Linked DNA regions of Cricetulus griseus. The protein of the gene in region 3 interacts with the protein of the main gene of each other region in a biochemical or structural test. Links are inferred from orthologs where the notes say so. Each region holds a gene or a part of one and is shown on either strand. Other genes may lie near its edges.

Region 1 (4,154 bases), on a different chromosome or scaffold from region 3:
GGTTTACAGAGCAAGCTCCAGGACAGCCAGGGCTACACAGAGAAATCAAAAAACAAGAAACAAACAAACAAAAAACAATATATATGAAGAGAGAATAGAACTGGGAAAGTGACATGTTGGAAGGATTAGTGGCAAGTAAGATGAGTGATTGGGGTACGGATCAAGATAGAATTGTACACATATGAAATTATCAATGAATAAATAAAAGTATTTTTAATTAAAAATATTCAATAGCAATCAGTGGGCTGGGAGACCATGAACAAGGGGGAGGGAATGAGTGGGTGGTGGAACTAAGAGGGCATAACGGAGTACACTGATGTAGAAGGAAGGACCAACTTAGGGGAGTAAAGGGATGATTAAGAATGAGTGGCTGTCATGTGGTGCGGGCGGCGGCGGCGGGGTGGGAGGGGCATGAATAAGAACCAAGTATAAAGACAGACGTTTTGAAATTGCCCTAACAGGAGCTGGGGGTTTTGCTCAGTGCTAGAGAGCTTGCATAGCAAGAGAAAGATCCTGAGTTGAGGTCACCACCAGAGAGGAAGAAAGTTTGGTTTTTAATGACAGAAGAGAGACTGGGCTGGTGGGACGGGGAGTGGAAAGGAAGGGAGACACACTGTGTTCCTGGGAGCAAAGAGCAAGATGAACTGTTAAGAAGTGAAGAGTTGAGCTACTAAGGTTACATGGATGACACTGGCTGATGCTTTCCTAGTTAGGATAAAAGAAACAGGTTGAGTAAGCTAGGGGTCTGTGAACAGAGACTGAGGAAGAAGCAGGCATGACAAACAGAACAAAAGATGGCTCAGAGACAGTGAGGAAACCCAATAGAAGACAGGAGGGGGAAGTAAGAGATCAATGGGGTTAGATAAGCCCCACCTTTCTGGGGCTGCCAGTCAGCAGCTCCACTCCCTACCTGCAGTTGAGTAGACTTTGACACTTGGTTCTTTTGTTCTCAGACAACTGCTTTGGAAACATCTATTTAATTAGTTCAAGGTCCAGGAACCTTGGTCTGCTTTACAGGAAGCATGAGTTCACAGTATCTGTTTGCTTTTGAGAGACAGTGAGGTAGGATGGTCCAACTACCTGTCTTTTCTCTTTACAATATTCCCCATTTAAGTTTTACTTTTGTGTTGTTGCTGTTCATTTGCTTTACCCCCCCTTCATTTTGTCTCTCTGTGGTCTTCCAGTGGTGACACTTTTTAACGGCTGCTTCCTGTTGCATTTTCTCTTCCCAGCACCTGTGCCTGCCTTAGACTTCTGAGCTTTCACACTTCAATTTGGCCCTGCTGCTCCTTCATGGCAAACAAACTACAGGAGGAGGTGACCTGCCCCATCTGCCTGGAGATCCTACAGAATCCTGTCACCATTGACTGTGGGCACAACTTCTGCCAGCAATGTATCATCCAGGTTGGGAAAACTACAGAAAACCTCCAGTGTCCCCTCTGCAAGGTCACTGTGAGTAAGGATACGTTCAGGCCCAACAAGCAGTTGGCTAGTCTTGCAGAGACAATCCGGTCTATGGATCCCACTGAATTCCAACCAGAAGGGGAAGAGAAAAGATGTCTTAAACACAAGGAAAAATTCCATTACTTCTGTGAGCAGGACGGGGAGTTCCTCTGTCTGGTGTGCCGTGACTCCAGGAGCCATAAGTCCCACAATGTCACCTTGATAGATGAGGCTGACCAGAACTACAAGGTAGGTACCTGGCTCCTTCTCTATCCCCAGCCCAGCAGAGGAGAACTCCCTGAGGACATAGGAGCAGCTGCCTGTGCCAGCTGGTTGGTACTCACCGCTGCACTTGAATTGGCTATATGTAGCCAGGCCCAGTGGGCTCAAAGAGCCAAGTTCTGGGAAATGCCAGTCTGTAACCAAGGTGAGAAGAAGAAGAAGAATCAGAATAGTGCTTTGGGAGCAGGAGAGATAACTCGGAGTGTAAGGCACTTGCCACCAAGTCTGAGGACCCAAGTTTGGCCCTCAGGACCACATAGTACAAGGGAAAAAATTGTTTGATCCATGGGAAAGAAAAAGGGGGCTGATAATAATGACATTCCTAGAGGCAGAGCCTGACTGAAGTATCCTCTCCCCACAGGTGCTGATAGAGTCACAAATTCAGGATTTGGGCCAAAAGGACAAAGAAATAATTGAAGAGAAAAAGCGAAGTGAAGGGGCAATCCAGGTGTTCAGGGTAAGAAATATTCACTCCAAACACTTCTGAGGAAGTTGAGGCAGCTCTGTTGAAACTCCTAGCATTCCTTATACACCAAGCCGGAACAAAGACCTGCTGACACGGTATCAGTGTCGAGGGGCAGGGAGTGTGGTGCCTGAGCTGTACTCATCTACCTGCCCGGGTGCTGCACCAGGGAACCAGGAGGTCTCCTATTCCTCCACCCACAGTGGGCTTTGTAAGGACTGCCCGCACATTGCGTCACCCAAGCCCTTTTCACTACAGCCTGGTTACACTGTAAGAAAAGATGGAGAGACTGTGGCACCACAAAATGTCTCTGCCTGTCTTTGATTGCTTTTCTTAAAAGGTTGTTTTTTATTATTTTTATTTATGTGCATATGCATGTGTCTGTGTGAGTGAAAGCCATGTGTGTGCAAATATTGGCAGAAACCAAAGGCACTGGAATTACAGGCATTTGTGACCTGCTCTTCCTAGGTGCTGGAGACTGAATTCAGGTCCTCTGGACGCATTCTAAACCCCTGAGCCATCTCTCCAGGTCCTGGTGGTTTGATTGGTTGGTTTTTGTACATCCATGGAACATTTAGTATGAAGGCAGTTAAGCTTCTTCCTTCCTTCCTTCCTTCCTTCCTTCCTTCCTTTCTTTCCTTCTCTCTTTCTTTTGTCTGTGTTCTTCCTCCATCGACTTTTAAGAATATTTATTTATTTATTTATCTTTAGATTTAATTTTATGTGAGTGAATGCTTTGTTTGTATACCAGATGCATGCCTGGCATGGAGATCAGAAAAGGGTATTGGATCCCTGGAATTGGAATTAGGATGGTTGGGATCTACCATGTGTGTTCTGGGAATTGACTCTGAGCCCTTTGCAGGAGCAACAAACTCCTTTACCAAGCCGTGTCTCCAGCTCCTAGACACAGTATCTTATGTAGCATAAGCTAGAGATTGTTATACAGAAAAGAAGAGCCTTGAGCTTCTGATCCTTTCATCCTTCCCCCAGTACTGAAATTGCAGGGCTATATCACCATGTCCAGATTACTGCAGGTCTATATTGCCATGCCCAGATCATGCAGGGCTGAGGATGCATTCTAAGCAAGCACCCTATCAATTGAACTACAATCTTATCCTGGGTTTTCGATTGCGATGTTGGTAGGTTGTTTGTTGAGAGAGTGGCTCAAGTAGTTCAGGCTGGCCTCTGATTCCTGAATCTCCTGTCTGTACTTTCCAAGTGTTAAGATTGCATAGTTGTTCATCCAGCTGATGTACTTGAAGGCAATATATATATATATATATATATATTATATATATATATATATAGAGAGAGAGAGAGAGAGAGAGAGAGAGCCTAAATTTGCACAGGAAGTGCTTTGATCTCCTTGCCCCACCCCCCTTTCCCACAGGTATGCCCCCAGCAAGCTGTTCAGCATAATCTTTAAATATTCCCAAAGAGTGAACAGTGCCAGGTGGTACGTGCCTTTGATTCCCAGCACTTAGGAGGCAGAGGCAGGTGGATCTCTGTGAATCGAAGGCCAACCTGTTGCACTTACTGAGTTCCTGGCTAGCCAGGGTTATATAGTGAGACTTTGCCCGTAACTGACTGATCATTCATTCATTCATGGTTGATTTAAAAAGTGAATGAAGGGCTTAAAGGAAGCTTGGAGGACCCTCTCTCATGCCCGTCCCCCATCTTTGCATCCCTTCCTTTGTCTCCAGGCCCAGATACATCTAGAAAAACTAAAGATCCTTGAAGAATTCAAACACCTGCACCTGAGATTGGAAGAGGAAGAGAGATTCCTCCTGTCCAGGTTGGACTGGCTGGAGCACGAGGGAGCCAAGCAAATAGGACAGTATGTCACTGCGACTAATGAGCAGTTGACTTCCCTCAGGAAGCTCTCAAGATCCCTAAAAAATAGGTTACAAGCACCGCCCATGGAGCTACTGGATGTAAGTCTCTCTCTCTCTCTCTCTCTCTCTCT
Region 2 (3,566 bases), on a different chromosome or scaffold from region 3:
GGTATCTGGCCAGCTCTTGGAATATCTGGAGAGAGCTCCTGCTCTCTCCCAGTTGTTTCTATCCTGGGCAAGCACATTTATTGGAGACATCTCACATCCCTAGGGTCTTTGACTGAAAGCCAGTGCAGATGTCCCAGGCTTTGTGCCAGGACTGCCAAGAACTAGCAAGTTCTGGGTGCTGGGCTGCCAGCTCAGGCTTCCTGCTCAGCTTGTGGGATTTCCCCTAGGGTGGGTCAGCTGGATTAGGGACTGCCTGTGCAATGCCTCTGGGCCTTTTGGCTCATGTGCTTGCAGAAGAAGGAAGCATTAAGTGTCTTACCCAGTACCCTGAAGATAAAGTGAGCCAGGCATCCCATTTTAGCACTTTCCATCCTCTGTACTTCCCGGCTGCACCTCAGACCTCAGGCCAGAGTGCTTGCCCTTGCCTGTGTGCTGTTCTCTTGGGGCGGGAGATGGGGGGGCAGTAGTTACTTTCCTCAGGACCTGAGCAGGGGTGGTGGGTTAGATGGTGCTCCAACTATGGCTAGTTTTGCACAGATGAGAAACACTCCATGACTTGGCCCTAGCTCATGCTGGCACTTGCTGTTGTCCCCCTACCCCTTACTCTAGGATCCTCTGCTTGGATTGAGCCCAGGGCACGGGTGACCTGCTTGGCCAGTGAGAACTCTCAGCTTCTGGCTTACAGTAGCTCCATAATAGGGATACCTTCTCTCCTAAGCTGCCAGAGGCTCAGGTAGCTTCCCTACCTCACTTTGCCCATCTGGCCAGCCCCAGGCTGCCGGCCTTCATGTTAGTAACATGGTGCTGAGTTAGAGATTGAAGATAGCCCCAGAGCATTCCAGCCCCAGGCCTCCATGGGTGTGTTTAGAGTTAACAACCCCAGGGCTTCCACTGAACCCAGTGCTGGGCAAACCTTTGGGGGTGTCAGAATGAGGGAGATCTAGCCTGCTGTGGGAGCCAGCCATAGAGGGAAGATAACCACTATCTAACAGGAAAGGCTTAGACTCCCTAGACCATTTCCAGCTGCCCCCTCTCCACTGCAGGACCTTCTTAGAATGTCCCTGGTTGTGAAAGGAAACCTTTGTTCCTCTTCCTCTGTGCCTGTACTCTTTCGCTTTCATTTTCTCTGGGCACAGCCCCAGCCCTTATCTTGGACAGTGGCAATGACAAACTGGCCCACTGAAATGTTCTGATTTTTCTCTGCAGCTCAGCAATCTCCATTGCCTGAGGTTTCTGATGGTCCCTTCCTTTCAAAGCCCCAGCACTTGGGACTGAATGAAGGCTGAGCTCAGTACTGGCTCCTGAGCATAGCAATAGCAGGGTGGCAAGCAGTGTGTGTTGCTGAATGCATGGGAGGGAGCAAGGGCCTAAGGGCGTGTGTGTGTGTGTGTGTGTGTGTGTGTGTGTGTGTGTGTGTCTGTGTGTCTGTGTGTGTGTGTGTCTGTGTGTGCGCGTGTCTGTGTGTGCGCGTGTCAGTGTGTGTGTTGCTGTTGGGTGGTGTACCAGTAGGCTTCAAGCCAACTTCATGTGTACCCTGACATCCTATTTTACCTGGATTGACATCTTTGCTGCAAGCCCTAGCTTTGCCCATGGAGCAATAATAGGTTATGTGCAGAGGGCAGGGCTGGGGGCCTGTGGGGATACCAGTAAGAGACAAAGGTTTGCATCAGGCAAGGAATCCCACTACTTGGGTTCCAATCCCAGCCCTGTCCCTCCAAGCTATGATAAATACTACAAAATTTCTTTTAGCTCAAGCTCCCTCTCTGTAGATGGGACTGGCCACAGCACCTGCTTTCTAGAAGTTGAGAGTGGGAAATGCAATGTTTTAATAAGGCACTTAGGATGTCCTTAAAGGATCCAGTGGTTCCAAAGCTATATGACTGTGAGTGTGGCCTGCCTCTGTAGAAGGGAACTGATCTGCAGGAGACTACTTCTCCTGTCAACACTGCCTTGTGAAACTTCCTAAGGTAGAGAGCAAGCATTGCTATGGGAGCCCAGGGCTTGAGGATATAAATGTCTGGCTACTTTAAACTTGTGGGAACTCCAACTAGTTTCTTGACATCCTGGGACCTCACTTTGTAGAGAACTTAGCCTGGAGAATGCCTGAGCACAACTGTAGCCCACTTGGACTTGGAGTAGGTTGCTCTCTACATAGCCTGGTTTTTAGAGAAGTCATTTTCTGACCTCTGACCTCCCCTTCTCTCTTACAGGTTGTGACATGTGCTCACAGGAAGACTTCCAGGCACAGAGGAGCCAGCTGGTGGCACTGTTGGTCTCGGGGTCCTTGGAGGGCTTTGAGAGCATCTTGGACTGGCTGCTATCCTGGGATGTGCTGTCCTGGGAGGACTATGAGGGCCTTAGCCTCCCTGGCCAACCTCTCTCCCATTCTGCCAGGCGCCTACTGGACACAGTCTGGAACAAGGGTGATTGGGGCTGTCAGAAGCTCCTTGAAGCTGTCCAGGAGGCCCAGGCCAACAGTCATACTCTGGAACTGCATGGCTGCTGGGACACTCACTCCATTCAACCAACCAGAGACCTGCAGAGTCACCGGCCAGCCATTGTCCGGGGACTCTACAACCATGTAGAAGCCATGCTGGAGCTGGCAAGAGAGCAAGGATTCCTGAGCCAGTATGAATGTGATGAGATCAGGCTGCCAATCTTCACATCATCCCAGAGGGTAAGCAGTGGCCTGTGTCAGCAGAATTCACAGGGGCAGGCTGCTTAGTTACCAAGACTGTTGTTCTTGTGCAGTCAGCCTCACGGAATAGCATGATTGGTGAGATTTCCCATGCAGCATCGACCAGCCAGGTCAAAGTTGCTCTTGGTTGTACCAGCAAGTCACTTTTGGTGGGGGCATCTGTGGCTTGGCAGTGAGGGCTTGGACTCAGTAGCCAGAATGATTCAGGTTCTAGGTCAGTTTTGTGTGACTGGATGTTTCTATATAGAAGCTCTCCATCTAGTTCTCCTCTCTTTTCTCTTTTATTTTGCTTGTTTGCAGTGCTGGGGCCTTTTGCTCTACCCCAGCCTTAGACTCTACCCTTCATTTCTCCCATCCCAGTTTCCTCATTGAATGACACTATTAATCTCTGATGCTCAAGGGTTTGGGGAGAACTCACTGAGTTAATCCATGTATCAATTAGAGACGTGTCTGGGAAGTCTGCTAACATCATCTCTGGCTGCTGTCATTTCTGCTGAGTGGCTCTCTGTACTTGCAGACTTTTATTGCTGTCTGCTTCAAATCAACAGCTCAATGGAGAATAATTCTGCAATATATTAAACCTGAATTTAATAGTATAGCCCACTGTGTGCCAATATAGTTTAAATGCCCACCTAGGATTTCAGATATGAAACTGCGTTCGAATTGGCAGGTAACTGCCCCTGAAATGCAGTGATTCTACAGAAACCGCAAGGGCAGAAAAGTATTGCTGTGCATTTCTGAAACTTCTGTTTTCCTGTAAATGGTGGTCCTCAGGCTGCCTGGGAAGCATGGAAAATAGTGATACTCTACTTTACAGTTTTGGGAAATCTGCAGTAGTGAAGGAGCAGTCAGTGGTGGACTTTGGCCT
Region 3 (3,566 bases):
GAATGCTTCTGAATCACCTTTAAACCAGTATTTTTAAAGATTAAGAACACACCTTATGGAAGCCCCCGGCTCTATGAACTGGGGACATAATACTGAAATTATTTACTGAACAATACAAATAAAATTTAGGGTGAGATTTTTTTCAAATTAGACAAAACATAGGTGAATAGTTATTAATTTGACTTACATAACTTAAAGTTTATGTGTACAAAGTTAAAGCTACCATTTATGGCTCTTGTTACAAAATAAAACCTATTTTCAATAAAGGAAAAAATTACCTTAAAATATTTGAAGTAACCCTAAAGTGTAAGATTTGTAGAGTAGGGAATTTGATTAGCTTTTTAAAAGGGTTCTTCTAAATTAAAAGATTCCATCAAGCCTAGAAAAAGCTTAGATTTTATTGCCATCTGAAAACATTCAATCAAAAGCCAAAATGGGAATCATTAAAATTACTCAAATACATCTCTTAAAATACATCCCCAGCATACTGTAGAAATGACTGTATTTTGATGAAAATCTGACAAACTTAGTTAAGCATGTTATTAATCATATCTATGTAGGCACTGACAAGCCTCACATACCCTATATCAGCATCTCTCACACACTCTGGAACCAAATATTTATCTATAAATGTTAGTAAAGACAGCAATCCTAGAAACCTGTCTAGCCATCTTGTCATTACAGAGACAAACATTTTTCTAAGGTAATGTTTTCTCTTCTGATAATACAAGTAATAAATAAATAAATGCCTATTCTGACTTTAAAAACACAGGAAAGTATAATGCAGGAAATAGTTCCCATTCTTTCATTTTAAAAGTCCAATAAAACTCAGTATATAGTAAAGTCCCCCAAACCCAAGGCCCCTCAAAAGAAGGGTTATACCCGCATCAAGTGAGTCATTATTTTCACAATTTCTTCCATTGAAGGGCGCTGAGAAGGATCTTTAGACCAACAGCGGGTCATCAGACTCTCGATGGGCTTAGGTAAGTTTTTGATCAGTGGTGGTCGAGTACCTATAATTGAAAATTAGAGGAATAAAAGAATTATCTACCCAAAGAACACTGCAAGATTTTTATAGTTTATTTCCAACAATATCTGAACTAGCATTTTTTCTCTTTTAGTTTACCATGTATTGTATCTATATATATTTTCACAAAGGGCAAACTATACCAAAAACTACATTAAATTTGTAACACAGGTGATAAGAACAGTGAGACTAAGACTGCTTGCTTGGGCTAGATGTATGCCTTTAACCAGTGCTTGTGAGGCAGAGGCCAGCAGAACACACAGGGCTGCATAGTGAGTGGGACTCTGTCTCAAAACCCAAACCAAACTGTCATATGCATTCTTTCAAAGAGCAAAGGCCAAATGCATGCATTAGGAAAAATAAGTAGCTGACTTGAGGAAAGATGAATTTTCAGATTATAAAATATTAAATGCATTTGAAAAAAAATCTTCCATTTACAGAAAGTGATCAAACACAGTGTAATGCTCATTGACTTCCCTCAACCATGGTATCACTCTCACAACTTCCCTCAACTATGGTGTCACACTCACTGTTTTCTTCAGCTGTGGTATCACACTCAGTTTTCCCTCAACTCTGGTGTCACACTCACTGTTTTCCTAAACTATGGTGTCACACTCACTGTTTTTCCTTAACTCTGGTATCACACTTAACTTACTTCAGCCAACCAGTATTAGACTCACTGACTTCCCTCAGGGTGTCACACTCACTGACATTTTCAACCATGTTGTTGCACTCACTGACTTCCTTCACCTACAATGTTATACTTACCAACTTTCCTCTGCTGTACTGTTACACTCACTGGTTGCAGTTAACTATTTTACAGGACAGAAAGTGCCAACTTTTTATAATTTATTAACCCTGCAGTGGCACTGGTAAGCTTCCCACACTCAAGAGTGGCTCCAGATACAGTAAGATCTTTATAGGTTAATCAATCAATACGCTAGTTCTTTTACTCTGTTACCTCACTGACAATCACTTGCTGAGAACTGATAGCCAGAGGAAGCAAACTGTCTTGGAAAGCTCCTGTATTTTCTACGACACTATAGGATGTAACAAAGCTGGCAGAGGAAACTGGTAAAACAGCCAAGATTACTCTGATGGTTTTGTTTGGCCAGCCTACAAAAGCTCTAAAGAGTTAGGTGTTTTTTCTTTGATCACCTGTAGACTAGTATACAAGCACTTATTCACTGGAACGATTAGAAGCACGTGAAGTAACAGTGATGCTGTAGTTCCTTATAGAGTTTCTTTATCAAAGAAACTGTGAAGGACCTACTAGTGAGGAAGCTATCTGAACACATTTATGGAAGTCAGAGAGACATAACATTAAGTCACCCTGATGAAAAGTAGGAGCACTTGAATCCAAAGGACCTGCATGTGGATTCCAGCTCCAACACTTATTACTTGTGATGTTAGCACTGTACGCATGGTTGAGAATATACAACTAAAACATGTGTGCAGCACTGAATATTGTGTCCTTTTGAGCTTAAGAAACAACTCTTACCAGCAGTTTTGCTTGAGAGTTGTTTTCCCAGGAGAAAGGGGCCTAGCATCCCAGCTATCTTAACGATATGAGAGATTTCATTTATCTACTTTGCCGCAGTGCTTCTCTAGCCCTGAGAGAGATAAAGGTGCTGGCTAAGTACTGATGGTCTTTCTCTAATCAGTGCAGTTGGCAGCCTCAGGCCTATGCAGAGGAGTCTAAATTCTCCCCACCAGAACCAGAGACAAAGGTATATAGAGTGCTAAAGTAAGGTGGTCTGGTAACAAATAAGTCTACATTTCAGTGTCAGATATACATAGTCTCTGGGGAAGAGGATGGGGGCAGTTTTCCAAATATGAAATATACACAATATATTAAAGAAAAATTTCTTTTGACAAACCATTATGAACAGCCCACATGATTCGGAAAGCTGGGCCACCGATCTCATCAAAGGGTTTCCGGCGTGTTATCACTTCCCAAAGGATAATACCCCAGCTGAAGACATCACACTTTTCACTGTAATTACTACCTACAAAAAAAGGCATTGTCATCTTGAGACCTGTTCCACAGGAATCACAGAAATAACTAGTTTCAAAATTTTTAAAGGAATGGATATTTTGGATAAGAGACTGTCACAGGAAGAATTAAACAATTACTTTCTTAAATGTTTTCAAAATAGAGTTTAATGAAATAAATATAAATAATATACTCAAAATCTACATGAGAAAGCCAGTAATTTTCTACCTTTTCAACAAAATACATTGGCCTTTTTTCTTCTGTGTGCAGACTGATCTCTTTTACAGGCATAATTTAAAACACCTTTATATTTCTGTAAGTTTTCAATTTCTTTTTGAAAAAGGTTTATTTGTTTTTATTTTATGTGCATGAATGATCTTTTGCCTCTATGTATGTCTGTGTACCATGTGTTGCAATGCCCAGAGAGGTCAGAAGAAGTCATCGGGAACCCAACTTCTGAAGTCACAGACCTTTGTGAACCTTCTGTGGGTGCTGGGGATTGAACCTGGGTCCTCTTGCAAGAGAAGCAAGGGCTCTCTGCCT
Region 4 (3,566 bases), on a different chromosome or scaffold from region 3:
ATTACTCATGACAGGGATGCATTCCTAGTCAGAAAGGAGCTAACTGTAGTCGCCTTTTCCTTTCTTTCCCAGTGCTCCAGGGCCTTTGGAATACTAGGCAGGCACTCTACCACTGGGCTACATTCCCAGCCCTAACATACTTCCTTCTGGGTTTCTTCAAGTTAGCTAGTTTGTTTAGTATTGCATTGGCAAGCCAGTAACTTCAAGAGTTGTAAAAACTTGAAAGTGTTGGCAGTATGCTCTTAGCATTGTTACTGCTCTTTGCAACTCAGCTGGGATATTTGTTTGTGGTACCGATGATAAAACCTCCAACCTCACTCCTATTGGGCAAGTGCTGGATCGCATTAGGTGGCCTGGACTGGCGTATTGTAGCCAAGTATGGCCTGGAAAGTTTGAGTCTTTTGTCTCCAGTGTACTAAACTAGCCTCTTCTCTCCGTGATTATTAAAATAATCTCATTAAGACTAAATTTAGGGCCAGGCAGGTGGTGGTGCACGCCTTTAATCCAACATTCGGAGGCAGAGGCAGGCGAATTTCTGTGAGTTTGAGACCAGCCTGGTCTACAAGAACTAGTTCCAGGACAGCCTCCAAAGCCACAGAGAAACCCTGTCTCGAAAAACCAAAAAAAAAAAAAAAAAAAAAAGACTAAATTTAGAGCTGGGAGGTGGCCCATGTCTTTAATCCCAGGATTTGGGAGGCAGAGGCAGGTGGATCTCTGTGAGTTTGAGGTCTACAGAGGTAGTTCCAGGATAGGCCTCTAAAGCTACAGAGAAACGCTGTCTTGAAAAACAAAAACAAGAGATCTCTCCTAAGGTCCTTTAGATCATTAAAAACACAAAAGGTTTGGTCTATCCCCAGTTGGATCTGTCTGACTACAGTGTTCTCAGGGTTCCTATTCTGTATAGATTCTCTGTTGATGTCTCAGTAAGTATGGTTGTGGGTATAGAGCTGGTCTGTGGTGGGAGGGTGGTACACTAAAAGCTTTTGACAGTTCGTGGTCTACCTTCTGGTCCATCTCAGTGTTGTTATGCAGCATTCTGGATGCAGAGGAGAAGGACGGATGTTGAGAATTTCCTGCTTAATCCTTCTTCTTTTATCCAGGTGGTAGCAAAGGAAGCCTGGGAAAACCACAGGCTGAGGAATGATTCTGTGATTGTGGACACTTTCCATGGCCTTTTCAAGTCTACTTTGGTTTGCCCAGAATGTGCTAAAGTTTCTGTGACTTTTGACCCGTTTTGCTATCTAACTCTCCCACTGCCTTTGAAGAAGGATCGAGTTATGGAGGTCTTTCTGGTTCCTGCTGACCCACAGTGCCGACCTATCCAGGTAACAGAATTCTTCTTCATGGTACCACTTGCTGAGCAGACTCTAGTCCCTGATGGGACTGCTTTCAGTCTGCTGCATGAAAAACTCCACTGACTGACCCTCTGTCCCTGGGTCCCCTTGGACTTAGTCTGTGTGTGCACCCTTGACCTCTCTCTGTCAGACTTTATGTAAACTCATTCATTGTTGAGGATCTGTTGTAAAGGTCCTTGGGGCTTCTCTGTCACTTTCTCATTGTTTTCTATTTATGAAATTGTAATAACCTGGTTTACCTGCTTAATGGTTTAAGGTCATTGGCTCTTCGTGTCCAATTCTTTTGGTGGCTCAAAGTGTTTTCACTTAGTCTTCTGAACTTTTTAAAAATTTCTTTTTTGTTTTGTTTTTCTTTTGTTGTTGTTGCTTTGTTTTTTTTTTTTTTTCAAGACACAGTTTCTCTGTGCAGCTTTGGAGCCTTTTCTGGAACTCACTCTGTATAACAGGTTAGCCTCGAACACACAGAAATCCAACTCCCTCTGCCTCCTGAGTGCTGGGATTAAAGGTGTGTCCTATCACTGGCCTGACACCCCACCACCCACTTTCTAAGCAAAGGCAATATTCTCTGGGTGTGATGGTGCACACATTTCCTCAAGGGGAGCAGAGGCAGTTAGAAAAGATCTCTGTCAAGTTGAAGCCAGCTTGGTCTTCATAATGAATTTCAGGCTAGCCAGGGTACACAGTGAGGCTCTGTCTCAAAAAGGAAAAGAAAGGAAGGTAATACATAGTATCAAAGGCAATTTCTATGCTTTGAACAATTCTTTAAAGGACATAAGAGGAGGTGCGACACACATGCCTTTAATCCCAGCACTCAGGCCAGCACTTGGGAGGCAGAGGCAGGAGGATGTCTGAGTTCGAGGTCAGCCTGGTCTGCAAATCCAGAGAAACCCTGTCTGGAGGGGGAGAGGGTGGAGAGTAGTGACCTAATCCAAAAGTAAAGTATAAACAAAAACAATGCTTGGGAAAGAAAGAGGTGGCTGACTGTGCCTGAATGTTGAAGCTTTGCTAATATCAAAGACTTGGCTCTGTCTACTTAACTCACCTGGGCCACACACTGCCTCTGGAAGGGTCTTTATGTCCCCATGATGTGTGCTTCTCCAAGGTCACTTCATGTCCCTTGGAGTACTCCTATCACCTTGCCTGTTTCTCCTTTGCAGTGCCGTGTGACTGTGCCATTGATGGGGGCCATATCTGACCTGTGTGAAGCACTTGCTAAATTGTCTGGCATTGCTGCAGAAAATGTAAGTGGCCCTTAACATGGCTAAGTCACTTCATGGCCCCTTGGAGTTTCCTTTCCAACTTTTAGCCACTTTTGGAAGGTTGTTATTGGACAGCACGAATGTCATCATTGGTGTATGTCTTGATTCCTCGTGGCTTCTGGCCTTGATCATGATCCCTTCCAGCACAGGGAAACACCATTTTTCCTCCCCTGCAATGATGCTGCCCATTGTCAGAGGGACAAGAGTAGGGCTCTGCTTCCATCATTGTGTGCTGTGTGGGGTGTGGAGACCAGCTCTGGAAAGCCACCGGGGTCTTTAGACAATGACAGTCTCTACCAGCGCTCGCTTCTCACCATGCCTACCACTGGAGGGCAGATGTTACCAGCATGCCAGTGCTGCTAACAGCCATGTTCCTCCCTTTCATGTCCTGGCCCTAGCCTTGGGACCACTCACATGGTGTTTCTCTGCAGGCAGCACTACAGAGGGGCATTTCCGCCCTTTGTTTCTGGGTTGTAATCAGTGAGTAGGAGCTCTGTGAGCCATCCTGTCATGTTTATGTACTTACTCTTGATTCTTAGATGGTGGTCACAGATGTATATAATCACCGGTTCCATAAAATTTTCCAAATGGATGAAGGTTTAAGCCACATTATGCCTCGAGATGACATTTTTGTGTAAGTACTTAGTAGTTTCTGATATATCACCAGAAGGACACTGTGGAGGCTTTGTCCTGTTTGTGTTCCCAGGTCTGACATCATTGCTCATGTGTATCTGTCCTAGTGCCTCCCAAGGGAAATGTACGTTCAGGAAACTGAGCATTTGTCAGTACTCAGAAGCATTGCACAAACACAGCTTTGGTCAGTTGTTTGTTTCTTAAAGAACTAGCTCAGTGGTTCTGCTCTCAGCTTCCTTGCTCAGTAAGAGTCATAGCTCTACCATGTACTGTTGGCGCACAACTTTAATCCCAGCAAACAGATCTCTGGGTTTGAGGC

The links.
Region 1: the proteins of Map3k7 (region 3) and Trim31 form a complex in vitro, tested with the Homo sapiens proteins (2 studies listed by BioGRID, with this or other methods). The link is inferred for Cricetulus griseus from reciprocal best matches to the Homo sapiens genes MAP3K7 and TRIM31.
Region 2: the proteins of Map3k7 (region 3) and Nod2 form a complex in vitro, tested with the Homo sapiens proteins (2 studies listed by BioGRID). The link is inferred for Cricetulus griseus from reciprocal best matches to the Homo sapiens genes MAP3K7 and NOD2.
Region 4: of the proteins of Map3k7 (region 3) and Usp4, one has a biochemical effect on the other in vitro, tested with the Homo sapiens proteins (2 studies listed by BioGRID). The link is inferred for Cricetulus griseus from reciprocal best matches to the Homo sapiens genes MAP3K7 and USP4.

What each region holds. Positions count from the first base shown.
Region 1 is NW_023276806.1:228,842,441-228,846,594, reverse strand, and holds the start of Trim31 (E3 ubiquitin-protein ligase TRIM31), read left to right. Parts: upstream 1-1,293; coding exon 1,294-1,692; intron 1,693-2,086; coding exon 2,087-2,182; intron 2,183-3,891; coding exon 3,892-4,122; intron 4,123-4,154.
Region 2 is NC_048596.1:164,275,331-164,278,896, forward strand, and holds part of Nod2 (nucleotide-binding oligomerization domain-containing protein 2), read left to right. Parts: intron 1-198; exon of another isoform or gene 199-1,967; intron 1,968-2,210; coding exon 2,211-2,677; intron 2,678-3,566. UniProt on the Homo sapiens protein: Pattern recognition receptor (PRR) that detects bacterial peptidoglycan fragments and other danger signals and plays an important role in gastrointestinal immunity.
Region 3 is NC_048595.1:110,090,200-110,093,765, forward strand, and holds part of Map3k7 (mitogen-activated protein kinase kinase kinase 7), read right to left. Parts: intron 3,037-3,566; coding exon 2,908-3,036; intron 1,014-2,907; coding exon 883-1,013; intron 1-882. UniProt on the Homo sapiens protein: Serine/threonine kinase which acts as an essential component of the MAP kinase signal transduction pathway. Plays an important role in the cascades of cellular responses evoked by changes in the environment.
Region 4 is NC_048597.1:216,544,453-216,548,018, forward strand, and holds part of Usp4 (ubiquitin carboxyl-terminal hydrolase 4), read left to right. Parts: intron 1-1,100; coding exon 1,101-1,325; intron 1,326-2,512; coding exon 2,513-2,596; intron 2,597-3,153; coding exon 3,154-3,248; intron 3,249-3,566.